2 linked regions of the Caenorhabditis elegans genome follow. The protein of the gene in region 2 interacts with the protein of the main gene of each other region in a pairwise test. Each region holds a gene or a part of one and is shown on either strand. Other genes may lie near its edges.

What was found.
Region 1: the proteins of rpn-3 (region 2) and F19B10.1 interact in a two-hybrid assay, tested with the Caenorhabditis elegans proteins (2 studies listed by BioGRID).

What each region holds. Positions count from the first base shown.
Region 1 is NC_003280.10:3,681,217-3,685,052, reverse strand, and holds F19B10.1 (FAM192A_Fyv6_N domain-containing protein), read right to left. Parts: upstream 1,870-3,836; 5' UTR 1,864-1,869; coding exon 1,510-1,863; intron 1,458-1,509; coding exon 1,374-1,457; intron 1,298-1,373; coding exon 1,100-1,297; intron 778-1,099; coding exon 607-777; 3' UTR 536-606; downstream 1-535.
Region 2 is NC_003281.10:8,445,838-8,449,909, reverse strand, and holds rpn-3 (26S proteasome non-ATPase regulatory subunit 3), read right to left. Parts: upstream 2,558-4,072; 5' UTR 2,554-2,557; coding exon 2,442-2,553; intron 2,394-2,441; coding exon 2,019-2,393; intron 1,976-2,018; coding exon 1,248-1,975; intron 1,201-1,247; coding exon 901-1,200; 3' UTR 564-900; downstream 1-563. Other genes in the region: mrpl-32 (Large ribosomal subunit protein bL32m), read right to left, coding at 1-152; hsp-110 (Heat shock protein 110), read left to right, coding at 3,021-3,127, 3,176-3,503, 3,609-3,936, 3,980-4,072. UniProt on the Caenorhabditis elegans protein: Acts as a regulatory subunit of the 26 proteasome which is involved in the ATP-dependent degradation of ubiquitinated proteins.

The DNA.
Region 1 (3,836 bases), on a different chromosome or scaffold from region 2:
TTTATTCGAAAAAGTTTATAGAATCTATCAGAATTATCTTCCTTCCTCCATCCATCGCTCCACGTCTGCAAACGCCTTCTCGTAGACTTCTGGGCTCCATTCTTCATCTTCGGAAAATTCCAGAAATTCTATGACGTCATCGTCCATTTCAATTTCAAAAGTTCCCACTTTGATCAGTTCATATTGATGAGTCACAGCGGACAGGCACATAGTAACAAAATGGAAGGTGATAAGAGAGATGTTCTGGAACGTGTGAGAAAAGTGTTCTGCTGAGAGAAAAGTCTTATCTTTGGATGGGCGGAGTCGGTAGGTATTTTGCAATACCTTAGAGTTTTATTGATTTATTGAAAGGAGGTATTTCGCAATATGAAAAAATCGATTAAATATTCGGATATTTCGCAATACACTGATATTTAAACTGAAGAAACTCTAGTTTTCTGGGCAACAACTTTTGTAAATTTTATTGAAATTTTTGTACAGCCGCTGAAAATCTTTGACTGTTGACATTTGATTTGTAACTTCAAGATTGAATTTTACAGAATTCAATGTTTCATTATGACTACATATTATGCAGTGGAATAGATTCGGGTATGAGGCTGATGATTTTCAATTATAGCTTAAGTCTAGAGGATCGTAGGCCGCATTCTTTGGAATCCTGAAGTCCGCGGGGCGGTCTCGCTGCTCCTGGGTATCCGGGAAGTAGTCCGAGTCTTGAGAGTCTTCACACTGGGTGTCTTGGAAGTCGCTTTCCGAGTCTGATGAGCTGTGGGCCGATCTCTGAAACATGTTACTTAAAGAAGATGTTGTAAGGACTATTTTTGAACTTGTGTAATTTGAAAAAGACCTTTTGAAAAGCTCATCACAAATAAATTAGTTGAACTTTTAACTAAAAAAAACCAATTTGAAATTTTTTCTGGAAATTCTTCAGTGATTTTTTGGCAATTATGAAAACAATTTGGGGCATTTGGAAAATTTGTAATTATTTTTACCGAAAATTTTCAGTCAAAAATATTTTATCGATACATTTTCTGGCACTTTTGCGAATGGTTAATAAATTTTTTTTAAACTTTGCTTCCGAATTTTTTGAAATTTCACTTACCAAGTTAAGTCCTCTCAATCTTTTGGCTGGCGATGGAGTAACCACTTCAACTGGAGGCTTTCTATTCTTCTTCGGAGTCACGTCCTGATCATCATTATTCACATTGTCCTCGGTTGGGGTCTCGTCTCCGTCGCTATCCTTATCCGAGGAGACCACAATTCTCCGTTTTCCGCGTGGCGAGGAGACTGGGATGATGCTCTGGAAATTTCAGAATTTTAATTTGAAAAAGAGTACATCTCATTTAAGCTCTTAAAAGGTTTGAAAAAATACTAACCGAAACAGTTGATACCTGGCTGTCAGTCGGGTCAGTCGGATCATCCTCAACCGGGGGAGCCTTAGGCTTTGCAGGAGAAGTTTTCTGAAAAAAAAAACCAGTTTCAATAGCATTTAATTTAAAAATATGAACTTACCCAGACAATCTTTGTCTCCTGGGAATCTTTTATGATTCTCAGCTCCCTCGATCCTCCAGCAGCCTGCATGAATTCTGTTACAAATTTCTGAACGGCAACAGTTTCTGGGGAGCATGATGGGCTTGGCTCAACAGCAGGCTTCTGGACTGGTGGAGCTGGTGGAGCAGCCACAAACTGGTCAAAAGAATTCTCATTCACAAGATCTTGAGCAGCTTCTGCTTCTGCTTTCTTGGCTCGAACTTTTGCCATCAGCTCTTCGTACGGGATGCGGATGGCTCCGGCGGGGAACTCGTCGAACGATGAGTAGCCATCTTCCTCGGCCTCCTGCTTGACTTTTCTTTCGAGTGGGTTCATGGTAGAGATCTGAAAATTTGGAAATTTATGTGAAAAGGTATGTACGGAGAGAAGAAATCCAAGAAGAAAAAAGTAAAATCAAACAAAAATTGAGGGAGTAGCAATTCAGAAGCCTAAGCTTTATAAATCTCAATTAAAATTCCTTATCTTTGCAATTAATCAATTTCGAAAAAACCGCCAAAGACGATTTACCATGTGACGCCGAAAGTCCGCAACATGGCGTCAGATTCGGTGTCTGCACATGACTGATTTACGAAGAGACAGATGGGGAATTGACATGTTGAAAAATGAAAATTGATGAGAAAAAATGGAAAAATGTTGAAGGTTAAAAATGGATGTGTTGAGTAAAATTTGGCGGCAAAAATACTTTTTTTGAAAATGAGAGAGTCAGAAGAAACGCGCAGTCAGATGTACAGTGGTCATAATTGTAAAAAATGAGAACATGGGTTTACAACTTGACTTTTGCACTGTGACGGTGCATTTATTACGGTTCAAATTCTGGGATGATTTTTGAAGATTGCAAATTTTTTGCCAAAAACTAAAACCAAAAAAAAACACTTTTTCGCTTCAAGAGAAGACCGCCTACCGTCGGCACCTACAAAAAGGCAGGACTTTATATACAAAACGGAAAATTCAGAAAAAAAATGTCAAGTGGGGTCTCTTTGCCGACAGTAGCTTAATTTTTTTGTTGTTTTTCGGTTTTCTTTGAAGTTTTGAGATGAATAAATCCTTTTGGTATAATAAATGTACCAAAAACTTTGAATTTGGAAATTTGGGGGTTCTAAGAAATGGGTGTACTGAAAGTATAATTAGACTAAAATTGAGTACTTTGTTTCAGTTTTTAGTTAACAATTTAGCAATATGAGCTGTTAAAGTTGACAAAAAAATCACCAGATTTACACAAATGTCTTACATTTTCAGGTAATAATTTTTTAATTGTTTATAGTAGTATAACGACAAAACACTTACTTAACAAATTTCAATTTTTCTGATTTTTTCGTCAGAAATTCTCTTTTTCAAATTCTTGAGCAAATTGAAATTTTTTTTTGAAAAAACTGCAACCAGGAATATCTAAAAGCAAACAAAACTTCCATAAAAATTTCTGACAAGAAGCGTAGTAAAACGGTATTGAAATGTATGCAAACACAAAAAATTAGAAAAAAATGGATTGCCAAACAGAAATTTACGTCATATTTGAATACTAAATATGACCCAAAAGAGCAGAGCGAAAAACGATCTGCACTGACCATAAAATTGGAAGAGGTACCGCCTCCCGCTAGCCTTCTGTTACGTGTTGCGCAATAAAAAGAGTGGTATATGGACATTACGTATGTCTAGGAAAAACAACTAACTTGATCGATAGAGTAAGGAAGATATGTATAAGCAAAAAATGACAAGGAAGTTGATGAGCCAAGTTTTTCAAAGTTTTGAAAATTCCTAATCTGAAATTGGATGGAAAAATGAAGAGTCAGTCTAGGCCAAAATTTCAGTAAAAATTATAGTTAATTATAGTGTGCAGCAGAGGTGTGCGGCAAATTTGCCAAATTTGCCAGATTTTGCCAATTTGCCGCACACCCCTGGTGGACCGGTGTTTCCAAGCCATATTTTTGTTGGAAATTCCAATTTTAAAAAATTAAAACGTTAAAATTCCAGAACTAGGGCAATTTCGAATTTCTACGTGACCTCTGCCAACAGCATGGACAAACGTGGAAGCTTGTGTCCAGTTCCACACATTACTTTGCCACGGATCCCTTTTGTTAGTTTTCTTCAGATTATTTTTGAATCTTCTATCTTCTTCTAGTTTCTTTTTCGTAATTGTTTATATATCCAGCTGTGCAGAAATTGTTTAGAAGAGCCGACGTACAGTCCGTCTGCTGCCTACTTTACAACCGAAGAGTCCATCAGTGCCGCGGGAGGAGGTGACCGTAATGTTTTTTTTGTTGGCGGGAAAATGCTCCATCTGGTGTTGGCCC
Region 2 (4,072 bases):
ATTGGCAAGTTTTGTGCAGTTGATGATGGATGTGCACCGACATCGCAAGCAAATCCAAATGAAGGAGGTGGTGATCGGTGACTGAAAACTCGCATCAGCGAGTCCATCGACAGCCGCAGGTTTATTATGATCCTTGCTCGAGCCTCATTCATTCTGAAAATAATTTTAAACTTCAAAGAGGAAGAAAAGCAGCGCTATAATCGATCTCGTAGTTAAATAAATTATGTTTTTTAAATGAAAAAAAAATTAAATATCAGAGAGCAATTGACTAAAACTAATAAATTCCAAAATTGAATTCCAGTTAGTTTCAGAGAAAAATAGAGTTTAAATATTAATGGGATTTTCAGTGTTTCCTTTTTTTACTTTTGGTAATACAAAATATATTGAATAAACATAAATATAACTAAAATGATTTCAAGAAAGTTTCTGAACTAAAAGAATTAAGAAAATCGTGCTCGTAATTTCTGACGCAGTTCGTGTGCAGGTAGTGTTTGCGGACATCGTAAAGCAAGTGTTTAGACAAATTACATTATTTTTGTAAAATTTAATAGAATCGTATATTTAGATGTTGCAATACAGTATTTATTCGAAAACTCATGGATTTCTATCACGATAGAATTGAAGATTATTTTTTAGACGATCTTTCTCTTTTAACACTACTTAATTCAGAAATAAAATCGGTGAAAAATACCAATTTTAAACAAAATATATTTTAAAAAGACTTGGTGAAATATGCAATTCATCCTTATAAAATTCATTCGGGTGTGGGAAAAAAGTGGACAGGGATCTCGATTTGAAAAGAGACGAGAAAATTCAAATAAAATACACACAAAATTATTTACGGAGACAGACACGTTCCAATGCATTGTTCAGAATAAATTAAAAAAGTGAGTGATCGGTTTAAAAATCGTCATCATCTTCGTCAGCCAGCTCTTTGGCGAATTCCAACTCTTGCTGCTCGCGTTCACGAGCTTGCTCAATAGTTTCAACAGCGATCTTCTTCTTTGGTGGATATCTGAGAGCTTTGACAGCTTGATTGTGCAATTCGAGGCAGTAACGGATACGAGTATCGAAGTGAGCTTGTGGCTCCGAAGTACGATAAATATCAGCTGTTTCTGAACTTTGCATGTACCGAGGTCCATCACGAACATCAGAAGTGATAACAGCATCGATTGCTCCATCGGCAATAGCCTTCGCCACCTGCAACAATTATAATAAACATAAAACTGTCAATATAAATTACTTACAATGTATTCAGTCTCTGTCTCGTTAGTAATATACAACTTCTTGGCAATATCCTTGATATAAATTCGGGAATACGCCAAAGAAATTTGCTTGATTGCAGTCTTGATGACGTTTTGACGCAGACGAACAATCAATGTGAGAGTATCATCAGCTTCAAACTGTGTTTTGAATTGCTCCAAATTATGATTAAAACGAGCAACATCTCCATCGCGAACGCCTCGACTGAGATCCAGGTAGTGAGCAAGACATTTGCGATAAATTGGTTGACGGAACACACTTCGATCAGGAATCTCTCCTTGTAGAAGACCAATGACAACAACCCACTTCTGAACAGCTTGTTTGAAGCCAATGGCACCTTCTTGTGGAGCTTTTCGCTGAGCTTGCAAGAAATATCCAGCCGCCGAATTGTAATCGAGTTGAAGAGCCTTTATACGTCCTTGATAGTACATGTAGCGGGCAAGATCATTGTTAGATGCATTGTCTGGGAATGCAACTTTGGAGACAAGATGAGCAGCTGATTGATATTGACGGTTGATCAAGTAGCAGCGAAGAAGCCAGCAAATCAGAACGGCTTGTGACTCGGAGAAATTACGGAGAGTTGCAGTACGGAGTCGAGAGTTCAAGAATCCCTGGTGATCGAAAAGACGTCCTTCTCGTTCGTAGATCACACAGAGGAAATAAAGGGTTTTTGCTGCGAGTCCATCCAGTGTACGCCGATCAAAGTTGTAAACTGAAAATTATACGTTTTGTTTGGGTTAAAATATGTTTTTTACTTGATGTGAGTTGATTCTCGCCGAGAGCAAGAGCTTCGGTATTCTTTTTTTGAGCATAAAGATGAAGCAAAACGAGAAGACGCAAGTAGCAATCTGATTCGGGAGATGCAAACACTGGTTTGACGCCTTTTTTTGGAGACTTTGTTTTGACATTCGAAGTATCCATTGGCTGAACTTCAGTATCAGCGGCGGGTGTGTAATGCAAATACTTCAACATTCCTTCGGCGAACTGAGCATCACTGCTTAAATGTGAAGACACGAGTTTGTAAAGAACGTTGTCATTGATCTGCTTGCGAGTTTTCGGCAATACTTGCAACACGCGAGTGATCAAATGTTCTTCTCCTTTGTCGAGAGCAGCTAATTGTTCTTTGATATCTAGAAAAGAAGGCAATCAAAACTTTAGTATTTCTGTATTTCACTTACTTTCAACTGCAATTGCGTTGAGATCTTTTGCTGGCTCGGTGGCTGGGACATCTTGCTTAGCTTCATCTACCTCCATTTTTTCAACGACGGTTTCTCCAGTTTTCGGAGCCATTTCCCTTTAAAATTTGAAAATAAAACGAGTGTCACTAGAATTTGAGCTTTTTTTCACGTAAAATAAAATAAATAAATAAAAACAAACACAACAGAACGTTAATAAAATGAAAAACGATGTTTGAAAAATGATGATTTTGAAAAATAAAAAATAATGCAAGTCTGCTCTGTAGAGAATTTTACATGGGTCTCGCAACGATGTACTAGACGTTTCTCGAATATTCGGTGTGCCTTTAAACACCATTATAAGGGAGTCAGCCTGAGACACGCCCTTTTCGGTCGTTTTTCGCTGTTTCACCTTTGTTTTCTTGCTCACTTTTTTTTTATTTGCTCGAAATTTCTAGAAAAATATTTGGTTTTTGTATAAATATACTTTCAAAGCTTCTTCAACCCATTTTGTCCGTTTTTAGCTGGTCTAAACTGTCTAAACTTTTATCTTTAATTTCAGCGCTCCTGCTATAAAGAATAATGTCGGTTCTTGGATTCGACATCGGTAACCTCAACTGCTACATTGGCGTTGCACGTCAAGGAGGCATTGAAGTTATCACCAATGACTATTCTCTGCATGCCACTCCGTAAGTGTAGTATTTCATAACATGAAATCTAAATATTTATTTCTCCAGAGCTTGCGTATCTTTTGGACCAAAAGATCGATCAATGGGGGTTGCAGCTCGGCAAGCAGTGACCACGAACATCAAGAACACTGTTATTAACTTCAAGCATTTGATTGGACGAAAATTCAGTGATCCTGTTGCGCAAAGATTCATTCCATTCATCCCGTGTAAAGTGGTTAAACTTCCAAATGATGACATCGGAGTTCAAGTCAGTTATCTTGGCGAACCTCACACTTTCACCCCAGAACAAGTTCTTGCTGCCCTTCTCACGAAGCTTCGTACTATTGTGGAATCTCAACTTTCTGACGTGAAGAAAGTTTCAGATTGCGTTCTTGCTGTAAGTGTTTGTTTAATATTTCTGAATAATATCAATTTATTTTAACTATAATTTTATCGAACAATTTAGACTTGAGAAATTGTTAGACAATCGTTTTAATTTTAGGTCCCGTCCTACTTCACTGATGTTCAACGACGCGCTGTTCTCTCAGCTATTCAATATGCCGGATTGAACTCTCTTCGCATCGTCAATGAAACAACTGCAATTGCTCTAGCCTACGGAATCTACAAGCAAGATCTCCCAGAGGAAGATGCCAAATCGCGCAACGTCGTGTTCCTTGATATCGGTCATTCGTCAACACAGGCTTCATTGGTTGCTTTCAATCGTGGAAAACTTCAGATGGTTAACACATCATACGATTTGGAGTCTGGTGGTATTTGGTTCGATGCTCTTATTCGAGAGCACTTCAGAAAAGAGTTCAAGACAAAATACGGTAAGGCCCAATGAAAGTAAATTGATAATTGAAGTTATTGCAGGAATTGATGCCGCAACATCTCCTCGTCCATGGCTACGTCTCTTGGACGAATGTGAGCGTGTGAAGAAGCAAATGTCAGCAAATCAAACTCCAA